4 linked regions of the Anolis sagrei genome follow. The protein of the gene in region 2 interacts with the protein of the main gene of each other region in a pairwise test. Links are inferred from orthologs where the notes say so. Each region holds a gene or a part of one and is shown on either strand. Other genes may lie near its edges.

Evidence for each region.
Region 1: the proteins of UBQLN4 (region 2) and SPP1 interact in a two-hybrid assay, tested with the Homo sapiens proteins (2 studies listed by BioGRID and IntAct). The link is inferred for Anolis sagrei from reciprocal best matches to the Homo sapiens genes UBQLN4 and SPP1.
Region 3: the proteins of UBQLN4 (region 2) and PRPF40A interact in a two-hybrid assay, tested with the Homo sapiens proteins (2 studies listed by BioGRID and IntAct). The link is inferred for Anolis sagrei from reciprocal best matches to the Homo sapiens genes UBQLN4 and PRPF40A.
Region 4: the proteins of UBQLN4 (region 2) and PTN interact in a two-hybrid assay, tested with the Homo sapiens proteins (2 studies listed by BioGRID and IntAct). The link is inferred for Anolis sagrei from reciprocal best matches to the Homo sapiens genes UBQLN4 and PTN.

Annotation. Positions count from the first base shown.
Region 1 is NC_090025.1:20,057,193-20,064,795, forward strand, and holds the start of SPP1 (osteopontin), read left to right. Parts: upstream 1-4,599; 5' UTR 4,600-4,744; intron 4,745-7,603. UniProt on the Homo sapiens protein: Major non-collagenous bone protein that binds tightly to hydroxyapatite. Appears to form an integral part of the mineralized matrix. Probably important to cell-matrix interaction.
Region 2 is NC_090032.1:22,790,042-22,796,866, forward strand, and holds the start of UBQLN4 (ubiquilin-4), read left to right. Parts: upstream 1-3,800; 5' UTR 3,801-3,839; coding exon 3,840-3,992; intron 3,993-6,825. UniProt on the Homo sapiens protein: Regulator of protein degradation that mediates the proteasomal targeting of misfolded, mislocalized or accumulated proteins.
Region 3 is NC_090021.1:204,090,458-204,097,555, forward strand, and holds the start of PRPF40A (pre-mRNA-processing factor 40 homolog A), read left to right. Parts: upstream 1-4,090; 5' UTR 4,091-4,369; coding exon 4,370-4,786; intron 4,787-7,098. Other genes in the region: ARL6IP6 (ADP-ribosylation factor-like protein 6-interacting protein 6), read right to left, coding at 1-48, 1,589-1,642, 3,405-3,720.
Region 4 is NC_090025.1:174,648,211-174,655,974, forward strand, and holds the start of PTN (pleiotrophin), read left to right. Parts: upstream 1-4,747; 5' UTR 4,748-5,091; intron 5,092-7,764.

The sequences.
Region 1 (7,603 bases), on a different chromosome or scaffold from region 2:
AGCACAGCAAGCTAAATCACTGTGCTGCAGAAAAATCCTGCTGTTTGAAAGGTCCAGCAGTTCAAGCTCGGGTCGGGGTGAGCACCCGCTGTTAGCCTCAGCTCATCTGCCCACTTAGCAGGTCAAAAGCAGACATGCGTGTAGATACATAGGTACCACTGTTAGTGGGGAGGGAATAAAGGTGTTTTTAAGGACATCGATCAGAGGAAAGCTCCTCGGCATGGAAGATGAAGCAACAGCACACACACGCACCATGGCGGGAGTTGAGCACAGCCTCCAAGATGTCAGAAATTAGATGGGAAAAACTGCCTTTTCCTCTGCTTTGTTATCTGTCCTTGTTAATTGTATAATTGGCATTGAATGTTTGCCATATGTGTGTTCTGTAAACTGCTCTGAGTCCCCTTTGGGGTGAGATGGGTGAGTTATAAATACTGTAAATACATACATACATACAGCATAAATTATTTGCAATAGGGCAAATTACTTTTTCACTGACATAAACACAAAAGGAGTTGGTGTACAGCAATGTTGTGTTTTGTGAGTATGCCCTATGCATTGCACACTGTGATTGTGCATTGCACAATGGCATCTGGTCATTGACACCTGTTTCACAATACTGCTATCCTTCAAGAGGATTGTATAGTGTTTGTGCAGCATATCTCTAAATGTGCATATTTACACTACACTTAGGAGATGTCAGATTACAGCCATTAAATAATAAAACTGTTGAGCTCAATAAACTTTGAAATGCTTTTAGAGGCCCAAATGGCTTTAAACTTCAAAACAGTTCAAAGGATCTTCACATTCTTGTCATAAACACATTCCAGAATATGAGGAGGGGGCATTTCACAATTTGGGAGCCTGTACACAAATCCCAAAAGGGCCTCTCCTGAAGATATTATCTTATCATCCAAAGTTCATAATGAGACTGACAGAAGATAACCAGCTGTCAAGCTGTTCGTGGCTTTAGAAGTTCAACTACCATCTTAAATAGAGCCAAGAGAGCAACTTGGAAGCAGCACAGATCATTCAGTAGCAGAATAATATTATCTTGTCATCCTGCCCCAGTTATCAGTTTAGCTGCCACATTTTGCATGAAATTCTGGAGTCTTTACAAGACTAGCCAGCCACACACATATTTATGTGGAAAGGGAGATAGATTAAGAATGTGCCAGCGCAGATTCATAGCACACAGGACTGTGTGACCCCCTTGATTTTTCCACAAATTTCAGCTGCAAAATAGAGCCTTGTTTGCAAGTTTCTATTCAAAACAACAACAACAAAAAACAGGGGAATAGTCCTACAAAGAGTGCATTGCAGTAGTCAAAATAGAATGCATTGCAGTAGTCATGTTATTTAACATCTATATGAAGCGGCTGGGGGAGATTGTCCGGAGTTTCGGGGTGTGGTGTTATCTGTACGCAGATGATGTCCAACTCTGTCACTCCTTCCCACCTGTTACTAAGGAGGCTGTTCAGGTCATGAACTGGTGCTTGGCCACTGTGACAGTCTGCATGAGGGCAAACAACTCCTAGAATGATTCCATCAGCGCTGCCTTTGGAAAATCCTGCAAATCTCTTGGGAAGACAAGCGGATAAATGTCAGCATGCTGGAAGAAGCAAACACCATCAGCATTGAAGTGATGATCCTCCGCCATCAACTCCGCTGGACCTGCCACGTTGTCCAGATGCCTGACCACCATCGCCCAAAGCGGTTGCTCGACTCCGAACTCAAGAATGGAAAACAGAATGTTGGCAGGCAGGAAAAGAGATTTAAAGATGGGCTCAAAGCCAACCTTAAAAACTCTGGCATAGACATTGAGAACTGGGAAGCCCTGGCCTGTGAGCACTCCAGCTGGAGGTCAGCTGTGACCAGCAGTGCTGCAGAATGAGGCACGAATTGAGGGCAAAAGAGAAAAATGTGCCAAGAGGAAGGTGCATCAAGCCAACCCCGACCAGGACCGCTTTCCACCTGGAATCCAATGCCCTGTGAGAGACGATGCAGATCAAGAATTAGGCTCCATAGACACCTATGGACCCACCCTGGAGGATTATCCTACTTGGACAATGAGGGATCGCCTAAGAGGGCAAACAAATTGAAATTGAATCCAGACAAGACAGGGGTACTCCTGGTCAGTCGTAAGGCCGAACAGGGAATAGGGTTACAGCCTGTGTTGGATGGGGTTACACTCTCCCTGAAGACACAGGTTTGCAGCTTGGGTGTGATCCTGGATTCATCGCTGAGCCTGGAACCCCAGGTTTTGGCAGTGACCAGGAGAGGATTTGCACAGTTAAAGCTTGTTCACCAGCTGCGCCTGTACCTTGGGAAGTCTGACGCTCTGGTTACATCCTGTGTAGACAACTGCAATGCTCTCTATGTGCGTAAGCTTGAAATGGTCCAGCGTGCAGCAGCCAGGTTACTACCGGGAGCTGTGCTCAGGGAGCATACAACTCCGCTGCTGCGCCAGCTCCACTGGCTGCCAGTTTGCTACCAGGAATAATTCAAAGTGCTGGCTTTAGCCTATAAAGCCCTAAATGGTTCTGGCCCAGCTTATCTATCTGAACGCATCTCTCACTATGAACCTTCCAGGAATTTGAGATTGTCTGAGGAGGCCCTGCACTCGATTCGGCCTGCTTCACAGGCACGTCTGGTGGGGATGAGAGACAGGGCCTTCTCTGTGGTGGCCCCTCAGCTGTGGAACTCTCTGCCTAGGGATATTAGATCAGCCCCCTTCCTCCTGACCTTTCGAAAAAGAGTGAAAATCCGGCTCTTTAGCAAGCATTTGGAACTTCAGCATGACCAGATAAACTCAAATTGGAATATGAACTAGGAATGGCTAAGACGTTGGAACGGTTGAGGAATTGAACAAGAAGACATAGTTTTTATAATTTTTATTGCTTATTGCTTTTATATTTTTAAATGTATTGTGATGTGATTTTTTGCTTTTAACCGATGTATGTATTTTTATATATGGCATCTAATTGTTGCCAATCTGAACGCCGCCCTGAGTCGCCTTCGGGCTGATATGGGCGGGATAGAAGCGACGTGAATAAATAAATTTTAAAAAAGTAACTTCATTCAGGCATGGGTGATTATTGTCAAGTCAGTTTGATGAAGCAAAAACACTCCTAGCTGCCATTGACAGTCAGAGCTAATCCATGATATTTTTAAGGGACAATCACTACCACTGTGGTACTGAAACACTTGCTGATTGAGCTGATTGCCATTCACTGCCTAGCAGAAGGACCAGCCCTTCTTGTGCCTTCCCACTTGAAACTGATATCCAGAACAAATGGCTGACCTTTAATTAAGTATCCTTCTCTTGAGGTTTTCAATCAGAGGCTGGATGACCATCTGTCTTGAGTGCTTTGATAGCATAATCCTGCATGGCTGAAGGAGATTGAATTGGAAGGTTCTTGGGATCTCTTTCAACCCTCTGCCCCTGTGAGTCTAATTCTCCTTGTGGATACTGCAACCTATGCTGATTTTCATGCAGCAGTCTAGCTAATGGGTTGTTGTAGGTTTTTCAAGCTGTTTAGCCATGTTCTAGAAGCATTCTCTCCTGATGTTTTGCCTGCATCTATCGCAGGGATCCTTAGAGGTTGTGACATCTAGCTAATGGCATCCAAATGCTTCTAGGTAATGTGAGATGTAAGTAAATGAGGGCCATAAACCCACTTCAGGTTTTAGTCTGTATTTTAAAGGATCTATCCAAGGTGCTAAATTCAATACAAAAAACAGATTCAGATGCTTTCTTTACAGTTCAGAATAAAATCTAGAATGGATTCCCTTCCCCAGAATGTAGGAATTACCAGGTGTGATTGCAATATGGGCTAGCTGTGTGTGTGTGTGAATATAGACAGAAACCATGCCTTCAGGGTTGGTGGACAATTTGTTTCAGCTTTCTGAATCAATTTCAAAATATCACTCATTTGCGCCAGAAGAGTGACAAGGAATTTTTAGTAGTCCAGTGAAAACCAGCTAAATACATAGATTATTCTACTCTGAAAAAGGTCGCTATTTCTTACTTTTTTAAATTCCAAACTCCCAAAATAAAAAAACACTAAGACATTTACAAACAAATTTATTACAAGCCTTTTCATCATATATATTTTTGTGTGCACATGTGTGTGTATGTATGTATTTTCTGGCAATACTTATGTGTATAATTTCAATAAACAAACATAGTAATAAATAAATCCATCAGTGTGGTTGGTTAAATTTGACCTGCTCCATCCTGAGCACCTATTGATTTGTTTTAAAGCAATGTTGTTCTCCATCCATTTAAAAAAAAAAACTGGCACCGGAAGCAATGTTATTTCTCCATCTCATAAATGCCAAAGAGAGCTTAGCCTCTAAAACCCTTTGGCTCGAGACTGAACGCTGGGCATTGATCTCCAGCTCTGGTTAATGAGATTGTACATAAGTCATGTTTTAACCATAGAGTAGGTTCTTGTTTGCTCTGGAAGCCACAAACCCCAAAAGGAAATGTAGGAGAATAGTGGGAGGACAGTGACAAGAAACCTCATGACCTCATCCCTTCCGCCTGCCGAGGATTGGCTGGCCGATGTCTGGACTAGAGTTTAAATTCCAGAGGTTTGCAGATAGAAATCAGCCGAAGAGGAGAAAGAAGACTGAGCAGCATCTTCTGAAGCAAGCCTTAGGCAGTGCCTTGAGCTTCACCAAAGCAGTTAGCATCAGACCTCTGCCTGAAGCTACCCTCCAGATCCAAGCTTAACTTAAGGTACTTATGCTCTTTTTTATTATTCCTTGTTGGATTATGTTATATTTTCATAGAGTTGAATGTGATGCAGCAAATACTTGGGGGAGGCTTTAAATATGCAAATTCCTACAACCTCAATGAATCATGACAGAGAAAGGGAACAGTGAGCACAGTATTAAATGTGTTTGCCAGCACCTCTCCTGTTTCCACTTGGAAGAATATTAAAGGATTTAAGGAGGAAGTGGTTTGCAGGAGGGAGTGCTGAAGTGCCACTTAGAGCTACAAATTTGGTCTTCCTGCATTTTACCACTGATGATTTTGAATGTCACATATTTTGGGCACAAGAGGTATTCTATATTCTGCCAACCCTGCTAATAAATTGCTAGTGTTTGCAATCTAAGACTTTACACCTAAAGGAAGCCAGCGTTGTTCTATGGTCAATATACTGAACAAGCAAATTGTTAGGTTACAGGACAGAGCTCAAATCCCCACTCATTGGGAGATTTTGAGCTAGTTCTTTCTTAGCTTAAGATGGGTATATGATGCATGCTGTCCTGAGATCCTGTGAAGAAGAGAAGTCTAAAAACATAAGAAATAAGCATGCCAGAATGTGCTGTTTTGTGCTTTGGAAACAAGGGTTGCCAGCTGTTTTGCTGTCTGGGCTCCTGTGCCTTTAAAAGCTGTGTATTCAATGGTTAAATGTTCATCCTCTCATTTAGCTGCAAAGGCAGGAGGAATAAATGGCAACAAATTGGCAACCCTTTCCTATAGCTCCAGATAAGATGCGACACAATGAAGTCATTCAGTAGTGATGGAAAGTGATTCTGTATTTGTCTCAAGGACATTCCTTTGTTACTTCATGTGTTTTGGAAGCAGAGCTCCCATAGATCCAGTCTTAAATGAAGTTCTGTGAGTTCCAAAGAGGATGTTCCACCACCTTTTCTGCACCATTATTTTGTATAAAATGCCTTTTCAAATTAACCCACACACTCCTGGCTAATAACAGTCCCATTATCCTTGCATTTAATAGCTGAAAAGGCTGAGGTGCCCACTTGCCTCTTCAAGAGTTTCTCCTCAAATGTACTTTGGTGCAATGTTTTCATATTGATTTTCTCTCTCATTAACCTTGTGAGCAGACAGGGAGATGTGCCAGCTTCCCCATCAGTCTGCCTTGCCATCATGATTCATCAATTTGTGATGCTGATGTCCCCTGATTCATCACTTTTATTCCTTCAGGGTCAGGACTGAGTAATAGGATCACTCCTGACTTGGAAATTCTAGCTTGTTCTGTCCAAATAATGCCTTCGAATGAGGAATGGATTGATTACACAACCCATTAATTCTGTGTTTGACAAAGTCAGGCAGAAAACAAAACTGTTAGCAACTCATTAATTTGGTAGAGAGCTTATGCTCCTCTGCCAAATTAATGCTTTTTCTCTAACTAGAATTTCTACAAACTTTTGCCGCATTTGCCTGTGGTTATTTTTATTAGCCAAGATTTTTCCTCCAGTAATTTCAGTTCTTGTAGAATTCCATGGTGCTATAATGGAGATGCAATATTCATCTCCATGCAGTTACATGCAAAAGCTTATAGAATCACAGAATCACATCATGGTAAGAGACCACAAAGGCCATCTAGTCCCCTGACATATAGGAATACACGGTCAAAGCACTCCTGACAAATGGCCACCCAGCCTCTGTTTAGAACCTCTGAAGAAGGAGACTCTACCGTATGCCGTATTCCACTGTCAAACATCTTGGATAGTTTGGAAGTTGTTCCTAATGTGAGACAGAACATGTATCTACATTACAGAATTAATGCAGTTTACTTTAATTGCCTTGGCTCAATGCTATGAAGTCATGGAGTTGTAGCTTTGCAAGTTCTTTGCCAAAGAGTGCTGGCACCTCACCAGACTACAAATCCCAGAATTCCATAGCATCGAGGCATGGCAGTGCTGTCGAACAGCATGCATTCTGCATTGTTGATGCACACAGTGTCTTTAAAAACACAAACATCCTTCAGTCCATGTTGTTTTTCTTTGCCAAATCTGCATCGTTTTCCCTTCTTGTTGTTCTTGTCATAGATCCCTTGCTAATGGAGGGCACTAGTGGAGAAGGAAATACAAGAATAGGGTCAAAATCAAGGTGTTTTGGATACTGAGAGAACTCCACTTCCCTCCTCACTTGGCCATGCACTTCAGTAGATATTGGTGATTATTCCTGATGCCAATCCTGTTTGCATAAATGCATATTCACTGTGTGCTCAGTTTCCCACTGCAGTCATGTGCTGGGTTAGGCCACACCAAGGGCATGTTATCTGCAGAGGTCATCTGCTCAGTATCTCTCAAACCAAGCAAATCGCTGACAAGAAGTCAAATCTAGCTCAGCTATTCAATAAGGGCATACTATCTTCTCTTATATTTTCAAGTCCAAGGACACAGAAACAGCTCAAATTTGATGTAACATTTTTCTTCCACCAAGGGGCATGAGCAGAGAGATATTGAGAAGGGAGAAATTCCAATGAAACAAAAAAAAATACTCAAGGAACATTTACAAGAAATACTGGAGTCTTGTTTGAATATCATTCAGGTTGAATCCTTTTTAGAAACTTTGGCAAAGAAGAATCATATCTAATTCTATGGTCAAGAAAAAGTTTGTGGCAAAGTGGCCATATCACTTTTGTCTCTGACTTCAGTGTTTTTCATGGATACACATGAAATACTAGGATCTTAGAGAGGAATGTTTTTTTATATTTCATCATCCAGAATTTAAAAAAAAAAAAAACCATAGGAAGTACCAAAATATGAAATTCCCATTCTTCATTTTAAGATAGTAAGTTGCTACTTATGTCTAGTAAATTTCATGAATTTTTATAAGTAA
Region 2 (6,825 bases):
ATATAATCTAAAGCCTATTTGGATAGGAAATAATAATATAATTTATTATTAATAATAATTTATTATATATAATATAATATATTATAAAATTAAATATAATTATAATTATTATATTATTAATAATATATGATCTAAAGCCTATTGTTCGGATAGGAAATAATAATATAATATAACAATTATTATTAATAATATATTGTTATATATAATATAATATGTAATATAATTATATAATATAATATAATAATTATATTATCAAGAACATATATAATCTAAAGCCTATTGTTTGGATAGGAAATAATAATATAACAATTATTAATAATATATTATGATTATATATTATATAATATATTATATAATTATATATAATTATATAATATAATAACTATATTATTAATAATATATAATCTAAAGCTTATTGTTCGGATAGGAAATAATAATAATAATATATTATTATTATTATTAATAATAATAATATATTATTATTAATAATAATAATATATTATTATTATTATTATTATTATATAATATATTATATAATTATATATAATTATGTAATATAATATAATTACTATATTATTTATAATATATTATTATTATATATTATATAATCATATATATATATATATATATAAATATTAAATCTCCTTTCCACACTGGACAGTTATACCACTTTGATTCCGGTTTAACTCCCAATTGGGATGGGTTGTCTTTGGAGTAGCGATTGTGCTGATGATGCTTCAAAATGGTGATTGTTGGCTGTTTGGTTGTTGATAGCACGGTTGTTTCGTTTTGTTTTGATATTCAGAAGGTGTAAATCCATTGTGTTGTTTATACAGACTATTTTTATTTAAAAGTGTCATGTCTCTTTAAATAATTGCGCCATTTCCATTTTTGCTCCTGGCACTGCGCCTGCGCAGTCGGGCTCCAAGAAGTCCTGGCTGCCTTATGCCGGGCATAGGCTTTCCCTCCATCTTGGTCCCTGGCGTTGCGCATGCGCAGTTGGGCAGTAGGGAGGCGATGAAGCCAGGCGCAGAATGGGATGCTGTGCTTGGGCTTTCTCTCCATCTTTGTTCCTGGCACTGCGCACGCGTAGTTCGATACCAAGAAGCCGGGACGTGTGCCTTCCATCTTTGTCACTGGCATTTCGCACAGGAAGCCCTGGCTGGGTTATAGGCTCCATCTTTGTCTCTGGCTCCACGCAGGCGCAGTTAGGCACCAGGAAGTGCTCCTTCCATCTTTGTCCCTGGCATTAGAAGATGCCGGTTTCATCCTATATAAATATATACAGACTGTTTTGATTTATTATTTTCTTTATTGAGAACATGTCTGCATAACATAAAGTACAATTAGCATACATTAGAACAGGAATATACATTAAAACAGTTTAGTTTAAAGTTTTAATTGGATTTAATTATATATCAGAACTTTTATAGAACTTTTACACATTGGACATACAGATACAGATTTTCTGCAACTACATTGGATTCACAACTACTTACAGTTACATCGGCTAACAAACAGACAAAGAAAGGGAAATTACATCTTGACCAATATGCCGATGATAACGTAGTCTGTGCGCATTCAGAAGAAGACCTACAAAGTCTGTTATGGAACTCCAATATGCTGATGATAACGTATTATATTATACGATAATATAATATAATACAATATTATGATATGATATGATATGTAATTCTATTATATATATTTATTATAATCCAATATAATAATAATAGAATCCTAATAATAGGATCCATCTAGTCCACAGCGCCATATTGCACTGTATTATATTATAATATAATATGATACAATATGATAATATATTTATATGATATGATATATAATTCTATTATAATTCTATTATATATAATTCTATTATAATTCTATTATATATATTTATTATTATCTGAAGGGGCCATTCTAGTCCACGGTGCCATATTGTATTGTATTGTATTATATTATATTATACGATAATATAATATAATACAATATTATAATATATGATATATAATTATATTATATATATTTATTATAATAATAATAGAATCCTAATAATAGGATCCATCTAGTCCACAGCACCATATTGCACTGTATTATATTATAATATAATATGATACAATATGATAATATATTTATATGATATGATATATAATTATATTATAATTATATTATATTTAATTCTATTATATATATTTATTATTATCTGAAGGGGCCATTCTAGTCCATGGTGCCATATTGTATTGTATTATATTATATTATACTATAATATAATATAATACAATATTATAATATGATATATAATATGATATAATATGATATATTATTATAATATGATATATTATTATCTGAAGGGGCCATATGTAGTCCATTGTGCCATATTGTACTGTATTCTATTCTATTATACTATACTATAATACAATACAATATTATAATATATGACATATAATTATAATTATATTATATATCTATTATAATCTAATAAAATTTATTATAAAAATGACATCTCTACACAAACACACAAATATATATACAGACACACAAATAGACAGATATATCTCTACACACCAAGCAGATATACCTTATTATTATTATTATTATAATCCACAACCTGTTCTATCTTGTGTGCCATTATTATTATTATTATTATTATTATTGATATGTATCCATTATTATCATTCTCTACAATAAATAATAATAATAATAATAATAATAATAATACAACCTATTATGACCTCTTCTTATCATAATCTATATTCATTATTCGACAATACATATATACCTTATTATTATTATTAATTATTATTATAATCCACAACCTGTTCTATCTTGTGTGCCATTATTATTATTATTATTATTGATATGTATCCATTATTATCATTCTCTACAATAAATAATAATAATACAACCTATTCTGACCTCTTCTTATCATAATCTGTGCTCATTCTTACCTATTTATAATGATACTAATAATACAGCATATAATGGCCAGACAGTGCTTGGAGCAAACAATCAGGCACATCTAATCACCTCTCAACAAAAGATTCCCCCAGGCACTGCCAGGCCATCCAATGCTAATCAAGGTGGTCAGTGGAAACATTCCCACCAAGCTCCAGCAGACAAGAGTCCTTAGTCCCACCCTGGTCATTATTCCACAGATATATCAACCCATTTTCCTACTTCCAACAGACCTCACTACCTCTGAGGATGCTTGCCACAGATGCAGGCGAAATGTCAGGAAAGAATGCCTCTAGAAGATGGCCATATAGCCCGAAAAAACCTACAACAACTCAGACATCTAATCACCTCTCAAGAGAAGATTGCCCCAGGCACTGCCAGGCCATGCAATGCTAATCAAGGTGGTCAGTTGAAACATTCCCACCCAGCTCCAGCAGACAAGAGTCCTTAGTCCCACCCTGGTCATTATTCCACAGATATATAAACCGTTTTTCCTATTTCCAACAGACCTCACTCCCTCTGAGGATGCTTGCCACAGATGCAGGCAAAACGTCAGAAGAGAATGCCTATAGAACATGGCCATATGGCCCGACAAAAACCTACAACAAGGACACCTAATCACCTCTCAACAAAAGATTGCCCCAGGCACTGCCAGGCCATCCAATGCTAATCAAGTTGGTCAGTTGAAACATTCCCCCCTAGCTCCAGCAGGCAAGAGTCCTTTGCCCCACCCTGGTCATCATTCCACAGAGATATTCCCTCTTCTTCTTCTTTTGGGGGAAGCGGAGGGGAGGGGCGTGGCTTCGGCGTGGCCCCGCCCCCTCTGCGCCTCTCTCCGCCGGAAGTGTGCCTGGGGGCGGCCGGAAGTGGGCCAGTGCGCGGGGATGGCGGAGCTGAGGGGCGTCGCGGGGGCTGCCGGGGAGGGAGGGGCGCCGGAGGGGGCGCAGGAGGGTCGCCCCGCGCTGATCCGGGTGACGGTGAAGACCCCCAAGGACAAGGAGGAGCTCCTCGCCCCGGAGACACTCTCCGTCAGGGAGGTGAGACCGGGGGCGGGGCATCGAGCACAAGGATTTGCATTCGGGGGCGGGGCTTAGAGCCAGCCTATTACTATGCAGGGAGGAGGCGTGGCCTGGAAAGGGGCGGGGCCCGGAGAAGAATAACCCTTGAGAAGGATTTGAATTGGGGGGCGGGGTTTGAAGAGAGTGGGCGGGGCCATTTACTAGACTCAACTTATTAGCATTCAGTGAAGGGGCGGGGCCTGGAAAGGGGCGGGGCCAGGAGAAGAATAACCCTTGAGAAGGAGTTGTATTCGGGGGCGGGGCTAGGAAGAGGGGCGGGGCCATTTCCTATTACTATTAAGGGAGGAGGAGGGGCCTGTAAAGGGGCGGGGATTTGTAGAGAGGGGGCGGGGCCATTTCCTAGTATTCAGTGAAGGGGCGGGGCCAGGAGAAGGATTTGCATGCAGGGGCGGGGCTTAAGGCCACCCTATTAGTATTCAGGGGGCGGGGCCTGTAAAGGGGCGGGACAAAAAGTTTTAAAATGCCTTTCCTACTATTCAGGGGGCGGGGTTTAAAGAAAAGGGGCGGTGCCAGGAAGGGGGCGGGGCCATTCCCTAGAATCAACTTATTAGTATTCAGTGAGGGGCGGGGCCATGTCCTAGACTCAACCTATTACTTATTCAGGGAGGTGAGCAGGGGGCGGGGCGGAGCCACGAGCAGATTTGCGTTTAGGGGGCGGGGCTTAGAGCCAGCCTATTAGTATTCAGGGAGGAAGCGGGGCCTGGAAAGGGGCGGGGCCAGGAGAAGAATAAGCCTTTCCTGGAGAAGGATTTGCATTCAGAGGGCGGGGTTTGTAGAAAGGGGTGGGGCTAGCAAGTGGGCGGGGCCATTCCCTAGAATCAACCTATTATTATTCAGGGAGGGGCGGGGCCTGGAAAGGGGCGGGGCCAGGAGAAGAATAAGCCTTTCCTGGAGAAGGATTTGCATTCAGGGGGCGGGGTTTGTAGAGAGGGGCGGGGCCATTTCCAAGAGTCCACTTATTAGTATTCAGGAGGCGGGGCCTGGAGAGGGGCGTGGCTAGAAGTCTGAAAAAACCTTTCCTTGAGAAGGATTTGGATTCGGGGGGCGGGGCTTAGAGCCAACCTATTAGGGAGGGGCAGAGTCTGGAAAGGGGCGGGGCCAGGAGAAGAATAAGCCTTTCTTTGAGAGGGATTTGCTTACAGGGCGGGGTTTGAAGAGAGGGGCGGGGCCATTTCCTAGAGTCAACCTATTACAATTCAGGGAGGAGGCGGGGTCTGGAAAGGGGCGGGGCTAGAGGTTTTGAAAAACCTTTCCTGGAGAAGGATTTGTACTCAGGGGGCGGGGCTAGGAAGAGGGGCGGGGCCATTTCCTAGAGTCAGCCTATTACTATTTAGTGAGGAGGAGGAGGGGTCTGTTAAGGGGCGGGGATTTGTATACAGGGGGTGGGGTTTTAGAGAGGGGGCGGGGACATTTCCTAGTTTCTTAGTATTCACGAAGGGGGCGGGGCTGTAAGTTTTTAGAAGCCTTTCCTGGAGAAGGATTTGCATTCAGGGGGCGGGGCCAGGAAGGGGCAGGGCCATTTCATAGAGTCAACCTATTAGTATTCAGGGAGGGGGCGGGGCCTGGAAAGGGGTGGGGCCAGAAGCAGAATAAGCCTTTCCTTGAGAACTATTTGTATTCAGGAGGCGGGGTTTCTAGGGAGGGGGCGGGGCCATTTCCTAGAGTGACCTTATTAATATTCAAGTAGTGGGTGGAGCCTGTAAAGGGGTGGGGCCAGAAGTTTTAAAAAGCCTTTCCTCAAGAAGGATTTGCATCCAGGGGGCGGGGTTTGTAGAGAGGGTGGGGCCATTTCCAAGTGTCAACCTATTAGAATTCAGGGAAGGGCGGGGCCAGAGGTTTTTAAAAGCCTTTCCTTGAGAAGGATTTATATTGAGGGGATGGGGCCAAGAGGGAAGGGCGGGGCTAGGAAGAGGGGCGGGGCCAGAAGCAGAATAAGCCTCTTCTTGAGAAGGATTTGTATCCAGGGGGCGGGGTTTGTAGAGAGGGGGCGGGGCCTTTTCCTAAACTTATTAGTATTCCGGTTGGGGGAGGGGCCAGAAGGAGAATAAGCCTTTCCTTGAGAAGGATTTGTATTCATGGGCGGGGCTAGGAAGAGGGGCGGGGCTCAGAGCCAACCTATGAGTATTCAAGGGGGTGGGGCTTAGGAAGGGGCAGGGCCAGGAGTAGAAAGCTTTATTCTATTCGTCTCCAGGGGCCGGGCTTGGAGTGATCTAGAACCTCACGGCCCCAAGTTTGGGCAGAAGAAGGGGGCTTGGGTGTTCTAGAACCTCACAGTCCTACGTTTGGGCAGAAGAAGGGGGCTTGGGGTGATCTAGAACCTCACAGCCCTAAGTTTGGGCAGAAGAAGGGGGCTTGGGGTGATCTAGAACCTCACAGTCCCAAGTTTGGGCATAAGAAGGGGGCTTGGTGTGATCTAGAACCTCATGGTCCTAAGTTTGGGCGGGGGAAGGGGGTCTTGGTGTGATCTAGAACCTCATGGTCCTACGTTTGGGCAGAAGAAGGGGCTTGGGGTGATCTAGAACCTCATGGCCCCAAGTTTGGGCAGAAGAAGGGGGCTTGGGGTGATCTAGAACCTCGTGGTCGTAAGTTTGGGCAGAAGAAGGGAGCTTGGTGTGATCTAGAACCTCATGGTCCTAAGTTTGAGTGGAGGAAGGGGCTTGGGTGATCCTAAGTTTGGGTGATCCTCATGGTCCTAAGTTTGAGTGGAGGAAGGGGCTTGGGTGATCTAGAACCTCATGGCCCCAAGTTTGGGCAGAAGAAGGGGGCTTGGGGTGATCTAGAACCCCATGCC
Region 3 (7,098 bases), on a different chromosome or scaffold from region 2:
AGCACGACAGCCCAGCCATTAATGACAGAACAAGAAGAGTCCAAAATCCTTGCAAAAGAAGAGCACAGTAGTAAACATTGAAAGCTTAAAATACAACATTAAAAAGATAATACACAGGAGTTATTGCTAGAAAGTAGAAAAACAAAGGAGGTAACAGGCATACAATTGTCTAAATACAATTCTATCTACACATATTTACTCAGATGATGAATGTGGAATATTCCCATATAATACCTGGACCATTACTTCTTAAACTGAGGGTTCTGGCCTCAAATGGGGTCCCCTTAGCTCTATGTTGGGTTCACGACAAATTTGGTAACAATTTTCTTTCTGAATGCCACCTAGATATTTACAACAACTCTGTTAGCAACAACTCTGCAGAAATCGCTGTAGCTATATTGCACAAAAAAGGAAAACCAGACTGTTCAGCAAGCCTTGCAAATGCTGATTTATTAGTAAGTGTTTGATTTATATAACTTTTTATATACCTATATAGCTGGGGTCACATAAAAATTTCCTGGGAACCTTGCTCCAGATAGTAGCTTCATAGTATTTTTGACTGCTTTATTCATAGCAAACAAGGAGTTAGCTTTCAAAGTACAGGGAATATATGTTGCCTTCAATGGAACGTATATCCCCCCACCCCACACAGTGCTTGTCATTCCAATCCCATTTTTGGAAAAAAAAAATCATTATACTCATAATTACCTCCTCTAAGGTGAGCAATCTCACTATGTTTTTGATTTTCCTATCCTCTGCTGGTTTAGACTGAGATCCTTATAACACTAGATTGCTATAGCAGTATGGTTTCACATAAACTACCATACCAATGGTAGTTAAAGGATCCTGGGATTTGAAGTTTAGGGAAGAGTACCTAGGATTCTCCACCACAGAGGTCTTTCCCCACCCCCCAACTAAAAACCTTGGAAATCTACAATATGTTGCCATGATAGTTAGACGTGAGACATTGTGCTATAAAAATGTAATGTAAGGAAAGAAGGAGGACCCTTATTAAAAAAGGAGGAAGAGGCATTTTTAAATGAGGAAGAATAACTTCTGCTTCTATATAAAGCTCCTCCTCCAGACTATAACAGACCAAGGAGAGCAAGCACATTTGTGAAAGAGAAAACTTAAAAGTTGTTTTTGGTTTTAAGGAAAAATTTAAAAATATAGGTGGTGGTGACCTCAATTATGGTCTTGTGGTTACATTATACCCACCTCACTCTAAAGCACTTAATAATTCATTTTATACTAAGTGAGTGGGTAGAATAACATAAGACACTTAAGGCATAAATCAAGATAACTGTAATGTGATTTCAGCATACATGATTTGTTATAATTTTAAATTTACAAATGTAGGCATGCTTGGAAATATTTTTTTGGAATATGAATGGAATACATATTAGCACTCATTGAACATTATAAACCTCAAATGTAGGATATTTATTTTGATTATTAATTAAGGTGTTGGATAATTTTACTGTTCCTTTAAAAAAGAATCATTTTTAAAATATAGCAGTCATTGATCCAAGAATGAGTAATGCACCAGTAAGTGTTCCACAATGAATGAATTTTAAAAATGTCTTACCTAAAATACTTGTTTCTACAGTATCTTCAGCCCTTGCTTTTTCATATCTCAAATCTGCAAGGAGAAGGCATGGTTATCTACAGTAGCCACTGGGACCTACCCTCAGAAAACATTTTGAATATCTTGCTTATGTTTTTTTTAAGAAAAGAAAATCATTTTGTCTCTTTGCAATCATGAAAATTGGCCACATCCTCTCTTTCCTGAACTTCTCTATGCTGTAGCCTGGGTACATTCACCTGTCTATAAATATATGTACATAGAAACTCCTATGACATCAAGAATGCCTGAGTGAAATTTAGCTTTGAATGTGGTAAATAATATGTATATCGTGTAGAATCAGATCCCATATGATCTTGGAAGCTAAGCATGGTCAGACCTGGTTAGCACTTAGATGGGAGGCTCCCAGTGAAATACAGCCAACAGGTGCTGTTGGCTGTATTTCAGGGAAGAAACTGGTAAAACCACCTCTGAGTATTCATTGCCTAAGAAAACCCAATCAAATACATGGGAACGCCATAAACAGTCAGGTAGTCTAAAGGCATGTGCATGCACACACACACCAGGGCGTGTAACCATCCAATATATTATGAAGCAGGGGCCTAAATACCTAAAAGCACCAGATCTTCTCTGATCTTGGAAGCGAAGTTGTATCAATACTGCTTACTACAAGGATAAAGGACCATCAAGGATTGATGGATGCTGTATACTTTATTTCAGATGAAGAAACTATCAAAACCTCTGAGTATTCCTTGCCCTTCACAGGCAATGCGACGACAAACACTACGCACATACTATAAATAATAATAGCAAAGACTGAGGTATCCGTTTATCCAATATGGGGGATATTTTTCTTCTAAAATTCCAGAGGTTGGCACTATATTTGTATTAATAAGCTACAACTGAGTCTTGCTTTCCTGTGAACTCACTGTGAACCTTTAGCCAATCACGCATGACCCATCATAACTATGCTTGCGTAGGGTGACAGTAAACTTTAGAATTAATTCAGATTGACACCGCTTTAACTGCCATGGCTCAATGCTATGGAATCCTGGGAGCTTGGTGAGGCACCAGCACCTTTTGGCCCCATCTAGTAAAGGTTTCCCCTGACATTAAGTCTATTCGTGTCCAACTCTGGGCGGTGGTGGGGGGTGCTCATCTCAATTTCTAAGCCAAAGAGCCGGTGTTGTTCGTCGACGTCTTCAAGGTCATGTGGCTAGCATGACTGCATGGAGCACTGCTACCTTCCCGCAGAAGTGATACCTATTGATCTACCCACATTTTGCATGTTTTCGAACTGCTAGATTGGCAGAAGCTGAGGGTAATAGTGGGGGCTCACCCCGCTTCCTGGATTTGAACCGCTGACCTTTCAGTCAGTAAAGTTCATCAGCTCAGCAGTTTAACCTGCTGTGCCACCAGGGGGACATTTGGCCCCATCTACAATGCTGTATAATGTACGTCACTGTACTGAACTGTATTATACGAGTCTACACTGCCATAGAATGCAGTTCAATGGAAGTGCAGATGGGGCTTCTGGCAGAACAGGCCAAAGACCTTGTAAACCTATAACTCTTGGGAAGAATTGCATTGATCCATGGCAGTTAAACTGGGTGTCAAACTGCATTCCTCCTCCAGTGCAGCCATGTTGCATCAGATCCAGTTCAGGAGTGAACCACTTTGGGGCTTAAGCGATTGAGGGGGGGAAGGACGGGGCCTGGGGCTGTTTGGAATTGTGGGAGTGGGGAGCCAGAACTCCTGGAGGGCCCAATTTGGCGTTTCTCGGCGGGTTCCGAGCGCCCCCCGCCCCCCCAGCGCTCACCTCTCAGCACCAGGCAGCCGAGGGCGAGCAAGAAGGCCAGGAAGGTCACGGCCAGGAGGCAGCAGAACACAGCGCAGATCCTGCTGGGCCACCGGCGCCCGGGGAGCGACACCCCGAGCAGGCCCGCCCGAGGAGAATTCGCGGGGGAGGCCTCGTAGCTTCGCCCAAGGCCGCCCAGCACGCCTCCCGCACCCCCTCCCTCGCCCTCCTCCTCCTCCTCGAAGTCCGCCTCCAGGGTCCGCGCCACCCCGCCTCCGTCCGGCGTCCAAGCCGCGCTAGGCCCGCTCTGGCTGGAGCCCCGATAGGACGCTGCCATGGCAACCGAACACTCAGGCAGGAGGGGCGGGGGAAGCAGAGGCCCACCACTCGGCCTACACCGGAAGTCTAGGCAAGAAAAAAGGTGGGTGGGGAAATCTAGAAGCCCCGCCTTTTCCTGCGTAACGGCAACGAGTGGCCTCCCATCATGCTCCGCGCCTTGAACCCTCCCCTTTTCTTAACCCTCACAACGGCTCTCCTTTCTCTTTGCCCGCCCCCTCCTCCTTTCCCTGGGCTAAGGAAGGGCCCTCTTGGGCTTCCGTAGCCCTGCTAGCGGAAGCCGCTTTCCCAGTGTCCTTTGCGCGGCCCGTCTCTTTTTTTCCCTCCCCTCCCCCTTCCCGCCTGTGCTTCCCATTCCTCCGCCTGAGGCCTTCTTCTGGTGGGACGAGGCCCGGCCTTGCCCGCCTGCCCGCGCCGCTTTGGCCTCCTGCGGCGAGGAAGACACAAGAGGGTTTTTTTGTTTGTTTCTCGGCCCCGCCCGCGCCGTAGGCTGACTTTCGACGACAAAGCCGCCCCCCTCCCCCCACTCCGCGCGCAAATTTCCCCCCCGGGGAGTTCCTTCCGCGCCCCTCTCCTCAGGCAAGCAGGCAGGCAGGCCGGGCCTAGGCGCTCGCTCGAGAGAGAAAGGGAGGGAGGCCGCCCGGCCGGCCATGTCAGGCGGGGACTCGGCGGCGGCCTCCCCGCAGGCGCTGCCCTTCTCGCTGCCCAAGCCGCCCCCCCTCATGCAGCTCAACCCGGGCGAGGGCGTCCGGCCGGGCCCTGAGCAGTCGCCCAAGAGAGGCCGCGGCCCCGACTGGCCCTCCGGGAAGCCCGTCAGCCTCTTGGCGCCGCTCCTGCCCCCGCGCGGGGAGCCCGAGCCCCTACTGCCCTTCGGGCCCGCTTCCCGCCAGCCGCTCCGGGGAAGGATGCTCGGCAGGTGCGGAGGAGGAGGAGGCGGCCCCGGAGGAGGAGGAGGCCCCGGAGGCGGGGGGAACCCTCTCAACCCGGCCATGAGGCCCGGAGGAGGAGGAGGAGGACCCGGTGGAGGCGGAGGTGGCGGCGGCGGCATGGGCCGAGACGCCCTCATGGTGAGTTTTGGCGTGGCCCTTGACCCCCACGCAGACTTAATGCAGCCTGGCGCCGCTTCACGTGCCTGCACACAATGCCTTGGGACTTACATGCCAAAAAGTGCCGGCGCCTCACCAAACTCCAAACTCCCAGGATTCCATAGCGGTTACAGTAATGCCAGGCAGCATTCATTCTCGTGCCCGTTTGGTTGCCGACCCTCAACTACACCCCCAACACTTTCCTCCAACCCGCTTTCGCAAGCCTCCCAATTTTGTGTGGTATTTATCCCTTTATGTCCTGTGGTCAAGAGCCCCTGGTGGTGCAATGGGTTAAACCAGTGGTTCTTAACTTGTGGGTCCCTAGATGTTTTGGTCTTTAACTCTCAAAAATCCTAACAAGTGATAAACTGGCTGGGATTTCTGGATGTTGTAGGCCAAAACACCTGGGTACCCACAGGTTGAGAACCACTGGGTTAAACCCTTACGCAACTGAACTGGTCGACCAAAAGGTTGGCAGTTCGAACCTAGGGAGCAGGGTAAGCTCATGTCAGTCAAGCTCCAGCTCCCCATGCAGGGACACAAGAGAAGCCTCCCACAAGGATGGTAAAACATCAAACATCTGGGCATCTGCTGGGCAATGTTCTTGCAAACAGTCAATTCTCTCACCCAGAAATGACTTGCAGTTTCTCAAGTCACTCCTGACACACACAAAAAACCTGGGGATCTATGGACCACCAGGACTAAAATATGGTCTGCATCCTCACTGTTACTACACCATTGCAATGAGAATGACTGGTCTAGCAAAACCCTCTTATAGTGCATAATAATAATCTTTATTTATATCCTGCCACCATCTCCCCAATGGGGACGCAGGGCGGCTAACATGAGGCCAAGCCCAAAAATACAATACAGCAAAATAAAATAGAAAGCAACAAAAATTACATCACAATAAGATACATGAAGTAACAAAATAAAATAAGTATTTAGTCACACCTAAATCTTTATGTACCAGGAAAATGTTTTGAATGGGTTCGTAGGTTGGTTGCTAAGCAATTTAGAGGTAGATACAGTACTTGATAATTGGTTCAAGTTCCAGATTCAATGTGTTCACTGCTAGTGGAGTAGAAAGGTAATATTTTCTTGATTCCTGTTAATATATAAACTTGTTATTGTACCTTTATAAAGCCATTTTTGTACCCTGACGCATGAGTGCTTTGAAGTCCTTTAAACCCTTAAGTCTGGACATAGGAAAATGTCAGAACCAAAAGCAATTTATGTAGACAAATGGAGGCTCAATGTAAGAAAAAGTTATTTTGCATGTGTGGTATTCCACACAATTGGTTTTATTACTCTTTTCTTCAGTCTCAGACAGCTTTATTATCTTCATGATGACTAGTAGTCATGTGCATTTGGGACATACCTTAATCCGTTTTGTGTCCCGGCTTTAGGTGGGGGGCCCAATCCGTTTTTGTCTGAGCCTCCTGAATTCGGGAGGTCAGATATTTTTGTTTTTGTTTTCAGGGCCAAAAGATCTGTTTTCTTTCAGCCTATTGTTGAGGGAGGAGACTTCACCCGTAGGCCCAAACTGCCTGAGCCTGTGGGTGCAGGCTTTGGGCCTATGCACCTGGGCCTTGCAAGGTCTGCAGCTGAGTGCCAAGTAAGGAGCGCTCCTTACTGAGTGCTCAGCTGCAGGCCCTGCGAGGCCGAATGCATAGCCCCACAGCTTGCACCTGTAGGACTGGGCACTTCGTACCTATGGGTGCAGGCTTCCTGGCCTACATGCCTGGGCCTGGGAGGGCCTGCAGCCAAACACCAAGTAAGGAGCACTTCTTACTCAGTGCTCGGCTGCAGGCACTGCCAGGCCCCAGGCAATTGATACAAAAAGCAGGCTTGGAACTGGTACCCACTCCCACCCCTGCCTTTCGTATTGATTGCATTTTCATTCCAGGTAAAACATGATGTTTTGGTGCTTCATTTGTAAAATTATAATATGTATTGAATAGGCTTTCCTTAATCCTTCCTTATTATCCAACATTTTCACTTAACCAATGTTCTGCCGGCCCATTTATGTTGGGTCCTACAGTATATATTGTATACAGTCAGTCTTCCCATATTTTCAGGTTTTGATTTGGTGATTTGAGTATGCACTGATTAATTGAAATGTTTTCTCATGAGAATATCTGTGCCTTCCAGTGCAACTTCTGTCGGAATCACACTGGAGGACCAAGACCAGCTCTCTAGGAATCACTAGATTGCTCCAGCATGATACTAGCCGAAGTTGACCATAGAATCATGCTGAGGAACCTAGAGATTCCTGGAGAGGTGTATTCTCG
Region 4 (7,764 bases), on a different chromosome or scaffold from region 2:
ACTATTTGAGATTAATATGAGGTGCTACTTCTGCCAACTTGCAAAGCCAAGTATTTTGATTTAAATAGGAAAAAAGTATCTTGATAGATTGCAGACCACCCATAATTAGAAAAATAATTAGTGTAAGACTGAAATGGTGTTTCGAAAAAAGGACCATACAGAAAGGTCAGTACAGATTAAGTATCCCTTATTTGAAATAGTTTGAACTAGAAGTGTTTTAGATTTTGGATTTTCTTTTCATATTTATGTTTCATATAGACACATGCAGAGCCTGAAGGTAATTTTATACACAATATTTTTAATAATTTTGTGCATGAAACAAAGTTTGTATACACTGAGCCATCAGAAAGCAAGGGTGGCACCAATGTAGACAATTGTGAAGTATTTTGGATTTCTGGATAAAGGATACACAAGCTGTAGTTGTAGATTGTATATAGTACAGGGCTTTTACAAGTTTAATCCTGAAGAAAAAGGATAGAATACAATGAAGGCTCAGAAGATGACCAACTTAACCTCCTTGACCTTCCAAATATCAAGATAGCTATCAATTTCAAACATGGCTATTGCCTCACTATAGTAGAGAATCATGTGCATTGGAGGAGCATCTGAAGACAGACTTAGATTTGGGCACTTTGCTTTGCTATTTTCTTTGTTTTCCTCCCACAAGGGAACCAATGTGTTGGAAGGGGACAACTGCAGGTGAAACCTGCTTGACATAACTTCGCTTCATGGAGCTTTCTGGTACCAGATATTTTTGAGGTTTTGTAGAGCATGAAAGTTACAATAGTACTGTTCCAAATTCCATGTGGCACCCTAAATCAGTGTGGAGATAAGCATTAGAGTTGTTCACGGAACTATTTTCCTTCGGTACATCTGTTCTTTCATTACTTTTGTTATCTTCGAGAGCATGTAACAGAAGGCCCCTTCCGCTATAAAAATCAGCTCGATACGAAAGCAGGTGGGAGATGATCCCAGCTCCTCACCTGCTTTTCATGAGCATGTGGCACTCCATGCCTTAGAAAGAGTGCATGTGTGGCATTCAGGCCCAGAAAGTGCATATGTCTACCTGTAGTCAAGTGCCTCCTCTAGAGTAAGAAACAGGACTTGCCTCCTTGCCTTGGAAAGAGCATGCGTGTGGTGTACAGGCCCAGGAGAAAAAATGTGCATGCCTGCCTGCAGCTGAGCACCTCTCCTCTAGAGTAGAAATAGGTAAGAAGCCTCCTTAAAGCATGCACCTGCCTGCAGCTTAGCACCTGTCCTCTAGTGTGAAACAACTTAACTGCTGAAAAGGATGGAAAGGGGATCCTAGGAAGTCCCCACCCCCATAATGGGCCAATAGAAAATCGATCTTTCAGCACCCCAGAGTGAAAACATATATCTGCCCTCCTGATTTCGGGAGGCTCTCAAAAATGGATTGGGGCCCCCAACAAAAGCCGGGGCATGAAATGGGTCAAGGTTTATCCCAAATGCAGAAGCCTAATAAGCATACGAGAACACAAATGGGCAGCCTTCAACCCATAGGCAGCAAGTGGCCCCTTTTTGTATCCTTGAAGACCTCTGGACAATTCAAAGTCCCCAAATGCCCCTTCCCCCAGTGTAATTTTTAAAAAGTGTATATTTCCCAACCCACCATCAAAATGTACTACAACGTGGCAGCTTGGAATAATTTGCCCATCAGTGACCATCCTTCCCAACCTGGACAAATAACACAAAGTTGGCTGAAATCAAATTTATTTATTTATTTATCTGAGTCAATTTTAGCCCCACTTTTCTCCTGCAGCAAGGCGAGACTCAAAGCCACTAACAATACAATAAGAACATACAAAGTAAAAATTAAAACAGATTAAAACTCAAAAAATTCCTTATAGCAATCTGATCTAAAACAGTCAGCAATAAAACCCTATTTACAAATATAACATAAATATTTAAAACAACTACTCCATTGGGAGCCAAGTTCCTGTACTCTTGGAATCTAGAGAAACAATTTCTGAATCATAAGGAATTTAACACAGTGGCCAAATAGGGATGGGGAGGAAGTTGGCTGCCATTCTCAGTGCAGTTGTTCATCTAGAAACTGAAGTTTGTTGCCTTCCTAGTCCATAAAAGGATGAGGCATCTCTGGCTGGAGGCTTTCATCTTTCAGCCTTCCAGCTCCTACTACTTCATATTTTTCTATTTTAATTTTTTTCATCCCACATTGCTAGGAACAGAGCCAAAGAAGTAGCCAAATGAGTAGATGAAATAGTATCATATGACATGAAAGATGAGTGTAGAAGATTGGGATGGAAATATTCACTTATTTCATTCTGCCACACAGGAGCCCCTGGTGGCACAGTGGGTTAAACCCTTGTGCCGGTAGAATCGAATCTGGGGAGAGTGTGGATGAGCTCCCTCTGTCAGCTCCTCCCCATGAAAGAAGCCTCCCACAAGGATGGTAAAAAATTGGAACATCCGGGCATCCCTGGGGCAGTGTTCTTGCAGATGGCCAATTCTCTCACACCAGAAGCGACTTGCAGTTTCTCAAGTTGCCCCTGACATGAAAAAAAAAATCCTCCACACAAGAAATGATATTTTCAAAGAAAAATGTTATCTTGCTTGGGTGTAGGTTTGCCACAGTCAGAACTGAAGAGGGCTTCTATACCTTTAGTATAGAAGAGGAAATTTCAGCAGGTGTTGCTTTTACCTGATTGTGCGATAAGCAACACCTGCTGAAACGCCCTTCATTACACATCATTAAAAGTGTCGGAGCCATCTCTACTTTTCAGTCTGGCAATTCTAATTGGATAAATTTATGAAAGGTTTTGCACATTTTCAAATGATATTTTCTTTTCCAGGGCATTCTGTGAAACATTAGTTGGCTAAATATCTTGGGTTTTTGTGCCAAACTTGGCTTTCCTACAGAAGACAATGTCTTTTGCATACAATATGCCATTTTCTGTACAAAACTATTTTCTATATAAAAAACTAAAAGAGTCATAACAAATGTTTGCTTTTTCACCAAAAGTCCCAAATTATGATCTTTTTTAAAGTTGACAGAAGGAAAACTGGAGATGCTCCTCTACCTTTAATGGTTGTGCTAGGAGATAATTTTAGCACCTACTGCTTGTCATAAGCAACACCTTCTGAAATTCCCTTTTCTATAAAACCATTAAAGGCACAGGAACTTTAGATTCCAGAAGTGGTGACCAACTGACCATATCATGAAGATATGGTCAGTTTCAAAAGAGATATGTGTTTCAAAAGAGTCAGCATAGTGTAGAGGTTTGACCATAGGACTATGACTCTAGTGGCCAGCTTTTGAATCTCCTCTCAGTCATGAAAACCCACTAGGTAACTGAGCAAATCACATGTTCTTAGCCAAACAAACTCCCGTAAGTCAGAAATGGTTTGAGGACACACAACAACAAATATTTTTCAATTTGTTGAGGTACCCTTTCTTGTCATGAAAAGGAAAATACGTGTGCATTTATTTTAGGGGTCTGCATGATATCAGGTTGCTGTTCCATATTGGGGAATTTGGTCGAATTGACAGCAAAATCCCCAGAAATGGGGTGGGTGAGGGCAGCCAAATATTCCCAGAGTGAAAACAGAACTTTTGGATGACTAATCAGGAAACATTATTTCCTCACTCCCGAATTTGGGATTTTCCCAATAAATGGGAGAAGGGCAGAAAACGGGACCAGAAATGGGATTTTTTTTAATGAATCGCACACTCCCAGTATATTTACACCTCTAGTGGAAGCAGAGATGTGGTAAAGAGGGCAAAGAAGAAATTATGGTCAGAATCCTGTTGAACAAAAAATACAGCAGTAAAATTGGACTGTATTATTTTCTTCAGCACATAATAAAGAATGCAACAGAGTGAAATTGGGCTCAAAATTTGGCTGAAGAGAAATGCATCTGTTTTCTATCCCAATAAGATTCTCTTGGTTCTCAGAGTCTAACTAAAGAGCTTTCCCCCCATTGTTAATATTTTGATGCAACAGATGCATTGTGAGCACTGGATGTATTGTGAGCACTAATGGATTTTGAGCACCATTGTGAACTTTGTGATGTTTTTGGTAGGGTTCCTCAGCTGTTATAGTGTTTACCTGAATAGACAGTCTTGATCTGAGACTGGTGGGAAGAGGCTTTGGCAAAATACATGCAAATTAGCTGTTGAGAAAGAGACATTTTGAGTTTCAATATGGCTTGAGAACAAAAGTGTAGCAAATGCAGGGATGAAGACATTGCTCTCCAAATAAAAATTTCTCATTCACCCACGAAAACATTATTTCAGTCTCCAAACTTTTAGCATTGTAGGAATTTCAACTGTCCACTGAGCCTTTAGAAATTTTATTTCAAGTGTCCAAAGAAAAAACCGGGCACACAAAGTTAACAAGTTAATACAAACATGGCAAAAGATAGGTATTAACCATGATCACTCTCTGAAATGCTAGAAATACTTCTCAGAGTGGCAAATCTGCCATTAGGTCGCTGTTTGTGAAAGGTGATAGTAGGTATTCATTGACAAAAAAAAGTTCAGTAGCTGATTGGATGCATGCAGAATCTCAAGTTGTTTGTTTATTTAGCTGCTGAATTTTACTTTTCCATAGTACTGCCTGGAAAAAGAAGAAGACAGAGAGTTCCTCTTCCATTCCTCCCCCTTTCCTGCTTTGCCTTGGGTCTTGGTGGGAGAGACTGCCCCTTGAGTGACCTGCTTTTGATAAGCTTCCCAGTCAGATCACATGAGTGAACCGTGCTCTTTCTCCCCTCCCTCCCTTTCTTTTCTCTCACTGGCTGGCTCTCTCTTTCACTCACTCTCTCGCTGCCTGCTTTCTCTATAGTCAAAAGCAAGGATCAGATTCTCTGCCTTGACTATAAACATTCTTGGTGAGAAAATTCAAAGGGAAGAGCAGGTGCATTGAGAAGGAGTAGAGGAAGATCCAAAGCTCAGTGTGGGAGGAAAAGAGTCCATCGTTTCAAGGAGGGCAAGAAAAAAGAAGTGGCAAACCACCTCTCTCACAGAGCCAAGGTGCACCAAAGCTCAGGACTCATCGCTGAGAGCAGAAGATAGTTGGACAGAGACGGGAGATTTTCTTGCTACTCAAAGTAAGTACACATTGGTTTGGCTTATTAAAGTCTGGCATTTACTAGCCCTCCTACCATCCATCTCCACCCCAACCAAAAATGAGAAAGTTGGGCAGAGATGCTAAGTTAACGCCAGGTTGATTTTTCTTTTGTGATACTATTTTAGCTTAAAAGGTTTTCATGGGTGGAGGAAGTTGATCGAGTGAAAGACACTTTGAGTTACTTGAAGATGTGTTTTTTGAATGGTGCTCTTCTGTCTAATGATGGGAGTGGTTGGCATCCTCCGAAAAAAAAAAAGACTTGCAAAGCTCTGAATGCCATATAGCATGCAATTCATTCTTCATTTGAGGAAAACTGAATATGGTTTGAGCGTTCCTTATCTGGAATCCTAAAATCCTCCAAAATCTGAAATTGTCCACATGGATGACAGATAGTTTTTGATAGTTCAACATACACAACCTTTGTTTCATATGCAACATTGTTAACAATATATTATATCAAATTACTTTACTGCTATGTCTATATGGTACAATGAAATGTAAATTATTTTTGTATTTATATGCACATCTAGTCTCCAAGATACTTCATTATGTATATATATGCAAAATGGCTATACCAAAATTGAAAACATTAGTTCCAAACATTGGAATAAAATTTACTCAATTTGTATTAGGATAGTACACCTACTAGAAGTACTGGTTTGTATCAACTCAAAAGGAGTCACATGAGGCAGGAATGTAAGTACCCTTCTTTAGTTCTTTCTCTCTTCTGTCTGTTTGTTATGAGAACATTGCAAAAGAAATCTAAAGATCTATCTAAAAATCTACCTAACCCCCCCAAAAATCAGTATATTTTGAGCCTTGTTGGTATCATTGGATAGGGTAAAGAGTTGAGTGATGTGTAGAAGAACCTGTTTCTCCTCAACTCTTAATTTGGAAGAGTGTATGTCCTTGTGCCCAGCCTTAAGCAGAGGGTGGAGCTTTCCTTACTGTCATCAGTACCAGCTCGTGTTGGTTACTTTTCCTTCTGCTCTGCTGGATGCATTGACATTTATAGGCTGATGACAACATGCTTACAGAGTATTGGACTCAGAATGAGTTTTTCTGGTGTAGCAATGTTAAATCATAATGTTCTGCTTCTTTGGTTCTACTTCTGAATCTAACTTGACAAGAAAGTTTATATAGTGCAATGCTATTATTGGTATGAAGGCCAGAAATTTACTGTAACAGGTTTTTCTTTCCTGTTCATATCTCAAGCTTCTTGGAAATAGCTCAGGTGAGCGTATGTATATACATACTAGAGATCAAAAGCATATTTGTAAACTTTCTTGCCTTCCCCTTCCACACACACACAAACACACACACTTCCCCTTTTCCCATAGAATTCAAGATGGCTAATATGGATATTCCAAGCACTCTCCTATCCAGGGCATTAACTAGCTTCAGGCCTGCTAGCCTTAGGGTGGTAGCTGCAGGTACTTTCAGGTGATGCTCTGGGAACAGAAAGTTACACGAAGGAAGTTATATATTGTTTCTCAGAAGTTGTGGAAATAGCATGAAGGAAGGGAGAATGGAGTGGCTAAAAAGTTATAAACAACGTCAACAATATTAAAGGCTAAAGTTGAGTCTCCTGGGTTCCAGTGTGAAAACACTACATAAAAAGTTGTGAACTGTTCTTTTTTCTTACTGTTACCATCCTGTTGTGTAAAGACCATCTGGGAGTTTAAGGCCGAGTACTTCTGGAATACTATGAAAAACATTACAGAGTAGTCACAGAATGTAGTTTGTCCTGCCATGGGTCTCCATGCAGTTAAAGAATTATAGGAAGAACAAAATGATTTGAATGAGAAAGTCAACTAAAGGTGATTTTATCCAGAATTTTGTGAACCAACTGGCTTTGTGGATTCTTTAACAAGCCTCAAGATTTTGTGTAGTAGTATTCTTGAAAAGCATCAATCAAAACCAGTCAAATTACCCACCCACGCTGTGGCATTCATGTTAATTAAAGTGGACTGGTTCCTGGAAAGATCAAATATCTGAAGTTTGAATAATGGATTCAAGCTTTCTTATCCAAAAACTGTCCAATTTGGTCTGGAAGCAGTTGCAACTGCAATTGCCCCAACCAGTCCTCATCAACCCCCACACTTGGAAACAGTTAAAAGAAAATATTGGCATGCATTTCCTGCCCACTATTGTTGCATTCTGGGTATTACCCCCTTTCTTGGAACTGAACAGCCAAATCAGGATGTTGTTTTTCAGGGATTCTGTTTCATCATTGGTACTCTGATTTCAGAGCACATCACAGAGTTCAATTAAAATCTGGTTTGATGTTTTAAAATTAGGGTTGCAACAATTAGGGCATGCATACATGGCTCCTACATTCAGAGAAGAAGAAAAAACTAGAAATGAAAATCTGCTGCTATTTCCCACTTTCAGATGTTTTAAATCTCAAATTCTTTGTAAGAACTTGCCAGGAATGAAACAAATGCAATGATCAGCTATCTGTACTGGCCAAATTCAACAGGAGAAGAGTGTATCATTTCTGCCTGGTATGTATCCGTTAAAGATAAAGAATGAATCAGGACAAACAGTGGTGGTGTACCTAATTTAGTACACAAATGTGATTCAATACACAGTGATTAAAAACTATATAAGTTATAAGATTTAAACATCCAGAGCCCTAGTTAAATATGAA